Linked DNA regions of Oryzias latipes. The protein of the gene in region 1 purifies or fractionates together with the protein of each later gene. This does not show direct contact. Links are inferred from orthologs where the notes say so. Each region holds a gene or a part of one and is shown on either strand. Other genes may lie near its edges. The genes, in order: ATPase family AAA domain-containing protein 5, rfc5 and wdr48.

What was found.
Region 2: the proteins of ATPase family AAA domain-containing protein 5 (region 1) and rfc5 purify together in Homo sapiens (affinity purification with mass spectrometry; 4 studies listed by BioGRID and IntAct, counting the BioPlex papers as one, with this or other methods). This does not show direct contact. The link is inferred for Oryzias latipes from reciprocal best matches to the Homo sapiens genes ATAD5 and RFC5.
Region 3: the proteins of ATPase family AAA domain-containing protein 5 (region 1) and wdr48 purify together in Homo sapiens (affinity purification with western blotting; 3 studies listed by BioGRID). This does not show direct contact. The link is inferred for Oryzias latipes from reciprocal best matches to the Homo sapiens genes ATAD5 and WDR48.

The regions. Positions count from the first base shown.
Region 1 is NC_019866.2:13,221,115-13,225,068, reverse strand, and holds the start of ATPase family AAA domain-containing protein 5, read left to right. Parts: upstream 1-1,138; 5' UTR 1,139-1,450; intron 1,451-1,871; 5' UTR 1,872-1,884; coding exon 1,885-1,935; intron 1,936-2,309; coding exon 2,310-3,886; intron 3,887-3,954. UniProt on the Homo sapiens protein: Has an important role in DNA replication and in maintaining genome integrity during replication stress.
Region 2 is NC_019867.2:3,442,321-3,446,314, forward strand, and holds the start of rfc5 (replication factor C subunit 5), read left to right. Parts: upstream 1-1,180; 5' UTR 1,181-1,321; coding exon 1,322-1,368; intron 1,369-1,620; coding exon 1,621-1,685; intron 1,686-1,759; coding exon 1,760-1,896; intron 1,897-1,978; coding exon 1,979-2,058; intron 2,059-2,149; coding exon 2,150-2,223; intron 2,224-2,554; coding exon 2,555-2,714; intron 2,715-3,801; coding exon 3,802-3,883; intron 3,884-3,953; coding exon 3,954-3,994. UniProt on the Homo sapiens protein: Subunit of the replication factor C (RFC) complex which acts during elongation of primed DNA templates by DNA polymerases delta and epsilon, and is necessary for ATP-dependent loading of proliferating cell nuclear antigen (PCNA) onto primed DNA.
Region 3 is NC_019875.2:17,404,498-17,408,571, forward strand, and holds the start of wdr48 (WD repeat-containing protein 48), read left to right. Parts: upstream 1-1,261; 5' UTR 1,262-1,343; coding exon 1,344-1,391; intron 1,392-2,046; coding exon 2,047-2,187; intron 2,188-2,296; coding exon 2,297-2,375; intron 2,376-2,456; coding exon 2,457-2,669; intron 2,670-2,762; coding exon 2,763-2,851; intron 2,852-3,398; coding exon 3,399-3,500; intron 3,501-3,586; coding exon 3,587-3,811; intron 3,812-4,074. UniProt on the Homo sapiens protein: Regulator of deubiquitinating complexes, which acts as a strong activator of USP1, USP12 and USP46. Enhances the USP1-mediated deubiquitination of FANCD2; USP1 being almost inactive by itself.

The DNA.
Region 1 (3,954 bases):
AAATATGTATGGCTTTTTTTAAGCTATTAGAAATAGCATGTAGATAAGATTCTAATTCTTTAATTATTACAGGGGGTAAAAGTTGTGATAAGGAAAACTTTGATTTGTGAATATGAAATTTACCAAATATAAGTAGATTAATTGCCAATTTTACATTTGATCTTGTGTTTTTTTCGTGTAGGCCAAATATGATATGTTCAAATTTCATCTGATATTGTGAATCTAATTTGTAATTTAAAAAACGTGCACACTCTTTCCAAAGTTTTTTATTACAGTTCCAAAATAGGTGACTGATTGTTTCTGGGTGTTCTTAACAAAAGGTAGAGTTGGGGTCAATATAGTCTTCTTATATCTGAGCATGTATTGATTAGTGGGATAGATTCTATGTAGGAGTTTGTAGGAGACGTCTCTCATGTTGTTATTTATTAATAATTTCTGATGCAGGGTCCAAACATTTTTCCAGGGCAAGTCAGGAATAAATTTTCTCCATTAAAAAACAGCAGAGGGAACAGAAAAAACATTTTGCTGAAACAGGACACGTATGATCTTGTTATTTTTTTCGGGCACAGTTGAAACAAGATTTTCCAATAGTGGTGTCACTTAGAGATATGAAGGAAATATTTGCATCAAGTACAGTATTTTTAAAGAGTTCACAGATTTCAGTGGTAACGGCGTCAAAAAAAATGGCATGCTCTCTTGGAGGAACAGCAAGGTTATATTTAAGGTTAAATTCATCATGACCCACCAGTAGGATATTATTGGTATCTTCTTATTGACTAATTATTTTAGTGAGCAAAGTTTTTTTCCATCGATTTTTTACAACGAATTTCTAGGACATTGAAATGTTGTGCCTCGAAATTAAAAATATTGAAACATTTGAGAGAGAAAATAACAGGGCATAACATTTTGCTGTTTGAAAATCAAGGGTTAAAAAAAAATTCAGAGGTTTAAAAAATTCCGAATCTGATGGAGCAGAAAAACCCATATGAACATTGCGACAGTGTTGTCTTTAGAGGGCGCTCTAAATGTTTCAGTATCAGTAAATTGCAAGTCCGCACGCCATCTTTGTTTGGGGTAAACTACGTCACAATATGACGAAATCGATCTCCGTCTTGTGATTGGTGGACGAGTGTCCTGTCAAAGGTCACATTTATTTGGCGCTTTTCACTCTCGGTCAGTCTGGCGCGTTTTTGAATGGACTGTTTATGTCAAGAGAATATATATACACATATTTTTTTCTAATTGGGGCGCTTACTATTTTATAGACCGTGAGTAGAACACGGTGGCCTTTTGCTTCTCATAAGGCGGTAAAATATTTGAAGCTTTCGCGGGAACTATGAAACTATTATTCGCCGAAATCTGCTAGCTTGTTGTTTTACAGTGAAACCGATGACAATGGTGGAGTGGTCTTGGAGCAGAACAATATAAAGAAGCTTAAACAACCTCACAGGTAAAACAAGTGGCGGATTCGACATCAATGAATGGGCTAGTATTGCTAGCATTTATTTACAATGTTTCAGTTTTGGGCATATTATGTTACTGATGATATATTTTCAAAAATATATTTTTTATGAACGTCCAAAAACCCCACCTTACAATTCTGTGAAACATGATAAACGGTTGCTAAAAAAATGAAACCTAACAATGGGCCAAAATTTTGCCTAAACAGATAAGTTTAAGCATTAGCTTCCTTTTTACTGTATGTCCAAGTCAAGTGACACTTTTAGGCTAAGGCTTGCCTGTTTCTACTAGGGAAAAACGTCCAAAAGATTTGATTTAAATTAAAAATAAAAAAACAGCAGTTTTTTTTTTTGTATCTTTGTATGTGTATATTTGCTCTAATTCAGTTTTTATGTTTTGCTTTGCTTCAGGTCCTGTCAGATTATGGCTGGTGTTGTGGCTATGGCCTCTGTCATTGAGGACTTTGACACCCAGGTAGAGAAACAACAGCAAGCTGGTTTTTCTTTCCATAAACTCTTAGTCATACGTCAGCGGGTGTCCTGTGAATCCATGTTATGTATTTTATGTATGTAGTTGATTCATGGAGGCACGTCTGTCTCACATGTTCTTAACATCTGTCAAATTGTTTATTTTGTTTTTGCTTTGAATTTTAAATAATTATTTTTATGAACTCTGTCATGCTTGGCCCTAAGTTATGCAGTTATATTTCATATAAATCTAAAACTATTGTTGAGACCTGTGCATTAAGGCTATGATAGGCAGTTGTGGTGTTTAGGCTGTTTTGTTGTGTTTGTTTCCACTGAAATCTATACCGTAAAAAAATAATCACTTTGTCTTTCCTTCAACAGCCTGGCAAGAAGTCTCGCAAAGATAGTGGTGGTCCTGCTGCCAAGCCAATCACAAACTATTTCTCTCCTGTGCCTAAGCCGGTGGAGAAACCCTTTTCTCCTCCTCACTCCAATAATATTATGAGCTATTTTTGTCGAAAAGCTTCCTCGTCTAAAGAACAGACATGCCCGCCCGAGCCGTCTTTAGAAAAGTGTCAGGAGTCTCAAGAGGAGGAAAAACAAAGAAAGTCAGAAGGAAAGAGAGCGCCGTCTCAGAAACGTGGTAAAAAGAGTGGGAGAGGTGCCAGGCAGCTCGTACCCGCTGAAAGTATCGGTGATGTGGACTGCATGATAGTTGAAGAAGCCCCTGAAAACACAGACTCTGCAGCAGATCTACAGTCTACTGTTGATTCGTCAGAAAGCGATCAACCTCAGAAAAAGGATATAAAGTCTGAATCAGCACTTCAAACTTCTGAATTGACTCCAAGAAATGAATCAAAATCTACTAAAGCTTCACAAAAACAAAGGAAGAAGAAGCAAAATCCTTCCGAGCCAGAGAAAGAAGCAGAGTGTGATGTTAGTTTGAAGGCCAGTGATGAAGAGGCCGCATGTATTAAAGACAGCACGGTCAAAATCTCATTCGAGGAGTTTCTGCGCAGTCAAAGCAAGAATGAAGACAACAAAAGCGATGATGAAGGCATTAAAACGATGTCAGAAGAGAAGACAAAGGCTGAGCAGTTGGATATCCCCACAGCTGAACAACACGTAGATTTGTTGGCGTCTCCTCTGCAGATCTCGCCTCGAACTGTCACCATACAAGCAGAAGTGCACGCAATCTCACCCGACAGGGAAGACGTCAAAAGAGTTGGAAAACTGGCTTCAATCTTCAACCAGAAACGAAGCTCTAATAGTCCCGTAGAGACCAGCACATCTCCCCACACTGATTCAGGACCCAAGCTTTCTTCTCCCACCGTGAAGCGGAAATCCAACGTGGTTCTTCAGGAGGAAGATCTCGAGCTCTCTGTGCTTGAAAGCGAATCCGCTCCAAAGTGCAGTGAAGCGGAGAGAAAACAGTTCATGGCAGCTTTCAAGCAGCCCGGCGTGGATGGGCCCAAAAGTAAACCTGTCAGGAGCCAAGGTAAACAGAAAGAAGCCGCAGAGAAAACGCCGAATGCTGCAGGCAAAACGGCTGATGGTGAGGATCTGATCATGCAGCCTACGGTCGAGGAAACCCAACGAGAGAAGAAAGAAGCCACAAAGAAACGGCCGAAAAAGGGAAGGATTGAAGCTACAGAGAAAAACGAGGCGGCCAATACTTTGCCTGCAGGTCCAGATGTGACAGACGCCGCAGCTGCTCCACCTGTGCCAGTCACGAGGAGATCCAAACGAGAGGCCGTCATTCGACAAACGTCTCAGAGCACGCCAACGACTCCTGTCAGAAAAACAAGGAGACAACAGGCGTCTAATGAGGCCGTGACTCCTTCCATATCACAGGAAAGCCCTCTAAAGCTGGTGCCTTCCAAGACACGCAAGTCCAAGTACTGTGTGTTTGTGGCAGAGATCATAAGCTCACCAGATACCAAGCAAAGTCCAATCAGGTGATGCATCCATTTAAACTGTCCTTAAGTAAAGGTGCTTTTGGGCATTTTTTTTTCTGTTCACACTT
Region 2 (3,994 bases), on another chromosome or scaffold:
TAGACTCTGGCTTTGAGCCGTGAGAGGGTCGCCTCCATTGCAACAACAGTCCTCGCAGCTCCAGCTGGATGATCAAGGATGTAAACTAGACCAAACTCAATGTGAGGATGCGGAGCGGGGCTGAGCGGTCTGCTACAGCATCCATCGGGCGTCCTTTCCGTTCTAATGGATGCTGAGGAAGGGGGGGGGGGGGAGAAAAAAAAGGGGGGGAAAGGAACCAAATTTGCTGCTCAGCGCATCCTAAACAGCCGGATCGGGTAGAACCTGGCGGTTTTAAAGGTGCTGATGTGCGGATTGGATGCAGGTACTCCCTGTCTCCCTTGGCAGCAGCTGCATCCCGGTTCGCTCCCACCACACCGACATGTTTCCCGTCAATCAAAGCCACAGCAACAGCATCGCAGCGCCGCCGTAAGGGGCCGCTCTCGCGTGATCACGGCGCGCTCAAGTGGGTTCTCGTCTGCTGGACGAGAAACGCATCATCTGCGACAAATGATCTTTATTTTTCAGGGTGATATTTCATCAAATTAAACATAATTCAGCAATCTTACTAAAATGCAAACGAAGTGCCTGTTAAACTAAAAGGTTAAACAAAATTTGAAAACATTTTTTAAAACATTTATTGTGTGTACTCACCCAAGTTATTAAATAATGGGGGGGGGGGGGGCATGTTTTACTTATTTATTTATTGTTTTTGGTTGTCGCCTGGTTAGGTAGCTAAATAGTTAACGTCTAAAGCGTATATTCTAAATGAAACGTATTAAAAACCAAACAGATTAAGAAACTTGTGTATTTTTCTATTAATTTAATTTACCTATTTTACGAAATACTTATTGCACAAGTTAGATAGAAATGTATGTACATCAGGGGATTAAATATTGTTTTTTTCCTGTTAAATGCTTTAAAGTCTTATACAAATCTTTAAAATTAGTCTGATTTCCACAGCACATTAATTTTCGTTCTGAAATGTTCAAGAAAATCGGTCAAAAATGTTTTCGCCTACGGATAAATATCAAACTAACACAGAGATTTCTATTTTACAAGATAATCAACTCAAAAATGTTTATAAAATAAACAAAAAACAATTTTAAGCTTTACTTTAGAAAATATTAAAATTCTTCAATTGATATTGTGGTTTTTTTTACAGTTTACCTTCAACATATCACCATGATCCCACCCACCGGAAAGCAAAACGACATTCTGTTGGTGTTACGTCATGACGTTGGCGTGCGTTTCTGTCGCGAGCGCGGCAAAAGGAAGCGACATAGAACAGACGGGGTTTTTCCTCTACTTGCCCGGCTAATAAATAAAGTTACCGGGAGTCATGGCGTCTACGAGTAGGACCCCGTTACAGAGCAGAAACCTGCCATGGTGAGCCGCGACGAACGAGACGTTTGAGAAGCGGCGAGAATGTCGTTGTTGTCTAAGACTAAGCTAGCTGCTCCTTCAAGTTCTTGTTTGTCTCCAGTCAGAGGCTGTGCTTTTTTTTTTTGTTTTGTTTTCTTTTAAGTTTGTTCAGCTTTTTAAAGGCCTACACACTTCTTAAAAAGAAGGGAAAAAAAGAAATATTCTACTAAACAACGTCTTTGTTTTTGTGCTAAAAGTGTTTGTTTTGCATTTCAGGGTAGAAAAATATAGACCACAAAAACTCGATGATTTAATTTCACACAGAGACATCCTGAGCACCAGTAAGTTTGTTCATTTAAGGAAGCAAATCGACTCTGTGGTGTCCAGAGTTCTGAAGGTCTCCATGTCTCTTCAGTCCAGAGGTTCGTCAGAGAGGACCGGCTTCCTCACCTCCTGCTCTACGGGCCTCCTGGAACCGGAAAGACCTCCACCATTCTGGCCTGTGCCCGGCAACTGTACAAGGACAAGGAGTTCAACTCCATGGTGCTGGAGGTACCGTCTCCACTCAGGATCTTTAGTCTGCAGGGATTTTCTCATCTCCAAGGGTCCTGATTCTGATTCTCTTCTGTTCAAGCTGAATGCTTCAGACGACAGGGGTATCGATGTGGTCCGAGGTCCCATCCTGAGTTTTGCCAGCACCAGAACCATCTTCAAGTGAGTCGGTACCGCTCCAGCTCTCTGTGACCTTCTGCAGAGATTCCCTCCAGACAACTCCAAACTCCTTTTTCCTCCCTTTGATCCCCAGGAAAGGCTTCAAGCTGGTGATCCTGGACGAGGCCGATGCCATGACCCAGGATGCCCAGAATGCATTGCGGCGAGGTGAGCCATCTGTTCGCCTAAGTATGGCTTGCTGTGAGCGACACGGCTCACTGGGCAGCCAAATCATTTGGCTGATGATGCATGGGTCTGCATGAAAACACAACCGTTTTCTAAAATAATCCTTTGCATTGATTTTGTTGATTAAAATTTTTTTTTTCATAGGTGTTGAAAGTAGGTTATCGTCAACGATCTCATAAACGAATTAAGATGTTTGCAGATTTTCAAAATAAGACGATTTTAAGTAACTTTATCCCATTGAACTAACGTTTTGGCAGGTAACAGTCTGTCTTTTTATTTTTGTAAACTTCCTGCTGTCTCCCGTACGCCTCAGTGATTGAGAAGTTCACAGAAAACACCCGGTTCTGCCTCATCTGCAACTACCTTTCCAAGATCATCCCCGCCCTGCAGTCCCGGTGCACCAGGTTCCGCTTCGGGCCTCTGTCGGCGGACCAGATGATCCCCCGGCTGAGGCACGTCATTCAGGAGGAGAGGTGAGGAAAACCGGGACCGCTTTCGGCCTCTGAAGTCTCTCACTTTCTGAGTCTGTCAGAAGCATTAAAAACGACTGTGATGTTGACATGAAAAGATGCTTTCAAAGGATTTTTGAAAAATTAGGACTATAAATGGAATGAAAAACTTTACATTCTCGTTTCTGCCATTCGCATTCATCGCTTTTTAAGCTTTTCATTAAGAATCTCTCAGTTTTCTTTTTTTCTTTTTTTGATCCGATTTCACGTTTTTTTATGCTGATACCCGAGTCTCGCTCCAATACTTTTATAACACATTTTAAAAGTTGAATAAACAAATGCAGGTTTTCCCGTTTTTATTCTATTCCCCCTTTATTTTGTCAGAAAAAGAGCACCTCTGTGAACAATTAAGTACAAATAGTGCAACCATCAACTAGAAAAAATAACAAACTATTAACTGGTAAAAATAGTTGATAATTAGTCATGTGAGAAAGTTTGGTGACTGTAGCTTTGGCTCTTCAGAGCTTTTTGGATCAGATGTGATTTTTTTTTTTTTACTTTGGGAAAAAGAAATACCCATTTTTTTAAAAGGCATGAATATGATGAGTATTTATGACTTAACTTATATAAACAGAACCATTTATGTATTTGTGTTGTTTTTGAGAGTTTATTATCTTCTGATCACTTTTTCACAGAGCTTTCTTTTTGTAGACGGTCCCTTAGCAGCTCTTTTCACTGCCGTTTCTCTCTTTAATTCTCCGTATTTGAAAAACACATCGCATTTTTCTTTAAAGGTCATCGTTTACGTTAAGACAAACCAATAGAGACACTTGCTGTCAGTTTCAAATGTTAATTAAAAGAATTTTGAAACCTAGAAGTCCAAATATCCTTCAGACTTTACCAAACTGTGTTTGTGCGCCTCCCGCTCAAGCTAGTGCCATGTTTTTGCTGCGTTTTAGGGCAATAAGATGTTGTGATCCGTCCATGAGATGCAGACGTCTAGTACAGGATTTATCTGTAAAAATAAGCTTTAAATGCATAGCGCTGATCATAATAATTTTCCTCTTTAAACTTCCTTTTGGCCTTTAATGAGCTGAATCTTGTCTGGTAGCATCGACATCACCGAGGATGGGATGAAGGCCATCGTGACTTTATCGTCCGGCGACATGAGGAGGTCGCTGAACGTCCTGCAGGTGGGACCTCCTCACTCCTCCTGCCGGGATGTTCTCCAGCAGAGAGGAAAGACTTTTCGTGTCCTTTCAGAGCACCAGCATGGCGTACGGGAAGGTGACGGAGGACTCCGT
Region 3 (4,074 bases), on another chromosome or scaffold:
GCAGACTAAACCTGTCCATTGACGAGGCCAAATACACTTATAACGGGGGGGGGGGGGGGGGGGGGTGCAAAGGATTCATTTATATCCATATTCGCACACCATATTCGCACACTTTTTTTAAAACTTTTTTTAAGTTACTAATTTACTATTTTCAACGAGGTGCCGTTGAAAATAAAAAAATGCCCTAAACAATATTCTCCTACAGAAATAAAAGTAACAAATAAATATAGAATTAAAAGAAAGTCTTTCCCTGGTGTTTTTTTTATACAACACAGCGTTACTTCCCCTGTCAAAATGGGGAATTGATTGTTTTTAACAATTATCTTTTTTTTTTTTGCTTTTATATCAATGTAGTATATCTTTAAGTTCAACAGCACTTACATTTATGCAAGAGAATATCAATATTTGACATTGTTATGTGACTATAATGTTATATATAAAAACAAGTATTTTCTTTTTTTAATCACAAAAAGAGTCAAAGTTCTTAATTGAAAAGACTGATAGGTATTGCATTCTCTATTATCCTGCAATACCCTAAAACATAGAAGGCTGAAAAGAGTACACTGTATTTTTAATTTTGTAGACCAAAAGGTTTATAGCACTACTTAGACATCATAAAGTTTTTAACTGTAGAGTAGTAAAAATAAAACACCACAGAAAGACCCACAAAGCTCAAAGGAGGCTCTAGGGATCATGTTGACTAGCCTAATATCACAAATTCGTATTAAAAATTAAACCATATATCTGAAACAACTTAAAGATATATGTATGTTGAACATTTTATTTAAAAAAATAATTTTAAGCTTTAAAACTGCAAAACCGCAAATGTATTTCCAACAACTGTGAATTATGCTAACGACATAAAATAAAAATACACCTACGTATTATTTATTAAATGTTGATACTTAAAAAACAAACAAACTGGTTACATGCTTGAACAAAAGAAGATGGCAAAATAAAGACATATAAGAAAATAAAGCACATAAAAAATACTGGGTTGTCATATAACTTATTGTCCTCAGCAAAAGTGAGAAGTTTTCTTGCTTTTTGATTTTCATAAATTCGAATGAATTAAAATATAAACAAATCTCCTTGTAAAATACATTTTCAATGTGGTAGATTTTTTGAAAAAAATATTTTATTAATATAAAACTTGCCCAGTATTATCAAAAACATTCAAAACTAAATCAAAAAACAACATGCTAAGTGGACACTAAACATTTAACTTTTTTCCCCTAAACATTTAACTACAATACCCATAATGCACATCGTCGAAACCGTTTTCTTGTTTTCTTTTTTTTTACCGGATGTAGCATCACATGAATTGACTGTCAACATGCAAGATGGCCACACATCACAGGCAAAATGCCGCTGGGCGGAGGAAAGTACAGGTACGTTTTCTGAGTTTTATAAGAACTTAGTGTGTGGGAACAATGTAATTGTTGTCTTTTAGGTTTGCACAAGTGTCTCATACCTGCTGAAGCGGCAGCAAAAAATCACTTGCGGAAGCGGCGTGACAACTATGACTCATGTCATGGTGCAAGCCGGCTAACCCTGTTAGCTTAGCTTAAGTAAGGTGTTAGCACCGTTGGAAAAGGAGCCTCTAACTTACAATTTGCTTCTTCAAATACCTTAGTTGCATATCCGAAAAACTTTACATGTCAGTTGGCCATTTTCCCCTTTGCGTAAATGCCGGTGTGTTTTAGCTAAATCTGACGTAACGGTTACGATGATGCTGGTTAAGCTACACTGTGTCCTGGCTGCGTCTAATTGCTGGTACGACGAAAGCGTCTCCGTATATATCTGCCATTTTCTGCCCATTCGTTATGCTTCACAAGGGACGCTATCTTTAATTTCATAGTGTGTTCTAATTATACCGGGAGGTTTTGTGTCGGTTACGTCTTCGTCCCCTTACGGTGATGCGAGTGCGTGAAGCGTGTTCCACGTCCAAAAGTGGGTGTGTTGTGGGTTCAACACTGCCTGTAAGCCTGAACCAGGCGCCGGTCCAAGAGAGAGGCTGACTGCAGTCGCATCTTTGTGCCACAGGTGTCTTACGTTATTAGGGACGAGGTGGAGAAGTACAATCGAAACGGGGTGAATGCACTCCAGCTAGATCCTGCACTCAACCGGCTCTTCACTGCTGGGAGGGACTCAATCATCCGGATATGGAGTGTCTATCAGCACAAAGTACAGTTTATGACTTCAATTAAATATATACATTTTTTTGTTTTAGAGTTTTGCAGCTGCATATAAAGCGACAGAGATACTCTTTTAAATGATGCTACGTTTTTTGCAGCAGGACCCATACATTGCATCAATGGAGCATCATACAGATTGGGTAAACGATATAGTCCTTTGCTGCAATGGGAAAACATGTGAGTTTATAAGTATTAACAGCAGATTTGATCCAAAGTTTGTGTTTAGCCTCTAGCAACTCACCTCTCCTTCTCCTCCAGTGATATCTGCCTCTTCAGATACAACGGTGAAAGTATGGAACGCGCATAAAGGATTTTGCATGTCAACGTTACGAACGCACAAGGACTATGTTAAAGCTTTGGCGTACGCCAAAGACAAAGAGCTTGTAGCATCGGCCGGTCTGGATCGGCAGATCTTTCTTTGGGACGTAAACACGCTAACTGCCCTCACTGCTTCGAATAACACAGTCACTAGTGAGTACACCTATAGTCATGTGATGGGTTTAGCCCGCTTTCATGGGTAGACGTGTTTGTGATCCACCTTTGGGCTTTTCTGTGTTCCTTCAGCGTCATCGCTGAGCGGGAACAAGGACTCAATCTACAGTCTGGCAATGAACCAGATGGGCACAGTTATTGTTTCTGGATCCACTGAAAAGGTTTGACACACATCTCCAAAAAAAAAAAAATCTATGGTGAACCAATGCACAAAATTTTTTCTTTTTGCTTTGTTTTCATATTTCTTATATTTTTTATCTTGCTTTAGCCTGAAGTTAGATCTGTAAGATTTTAAATCTTGACAGCGTGAGTTTTTGTTGTTTGTTTTTTTGTCCTAAGAATCCTGCTAGTCTATTGCCTCTACTAAGTGTTGTTGTTTTTGGAAGTTTTTTCCTCCTAAAGGGGGGTATCCTCTCTATTGTTCCAACATTGAATGCTCTTTATGAGGCAGTACAATGACAATTCTTCTATGTAATAAATCTGTCACACACATTCATTCACTTAGGCCTTATAGTAGTAATCTTGGCAAAATTAGACTACAAACATTTTAAATATATCTTCTTTGCCTTGAATTTTGCTTTGGTTTTTTTATTTGTTTGAGGCCAAATTGGTTGTTAATTGTTGCTTTAATTCAGCTGCACTATAAATTGTAATCAAACTGTAAGGTTTGTTTATCTACATAAATTTAGCTCTTTCTCCAACCTTCAGGTTCTGAGAGTGTGGGATCCTCGGACATGTGCAAAACTCATGAAGCTAAAAGGTCACACGGACAACGTCAAGTCCTTGCTGCTGAACCGAGACGGCACGCAGGTGATTCACCAAAGCGCTTCAAAAACCTCATCATGCTGAGCCGCAGGAATCCCAAACTCTTTAATCCCGCTCTGCTCCCCCGGCAGTGTCTGTCCGGCAGCTCGGATGGGACCATCCGCCTCTGGTCTCTGGGCCAGCAGAGGTGTATCGCCACGTACCGAGTGCACGACGAAGGCGTGTGGGCCCTGCAGGTCAACGAGGCCTTTACGCATGTCTATTCAGGAGGCAGAGACAAGAAGATCTACTGTACGGACCTGCGGAACCCAGACATCCGTGTGCTCATCTGCGAGGAGAAGGCCCCAGTGCTCAAAGTAACAGAACAAAACACTCTTTTAGCAAACTGTCTAATGTCCCCAAACTGTGGCTTTATAAAATAAATATACACTTTTAGTAACTTTTTTTATAGCACAACAGTTCTGTCTAAATAATTGTAGCTCTACTTGTCAGTTCTAGTAGTTTAATCAAGCTTCCATTTTTTTCCCCACTAACTTAAATCATCCGGACATTGTTGGTCTCTTTTTTTGTTTTATAAAATTTTAACTAAAGCTATCGCATTAAATAACACATGTTGATG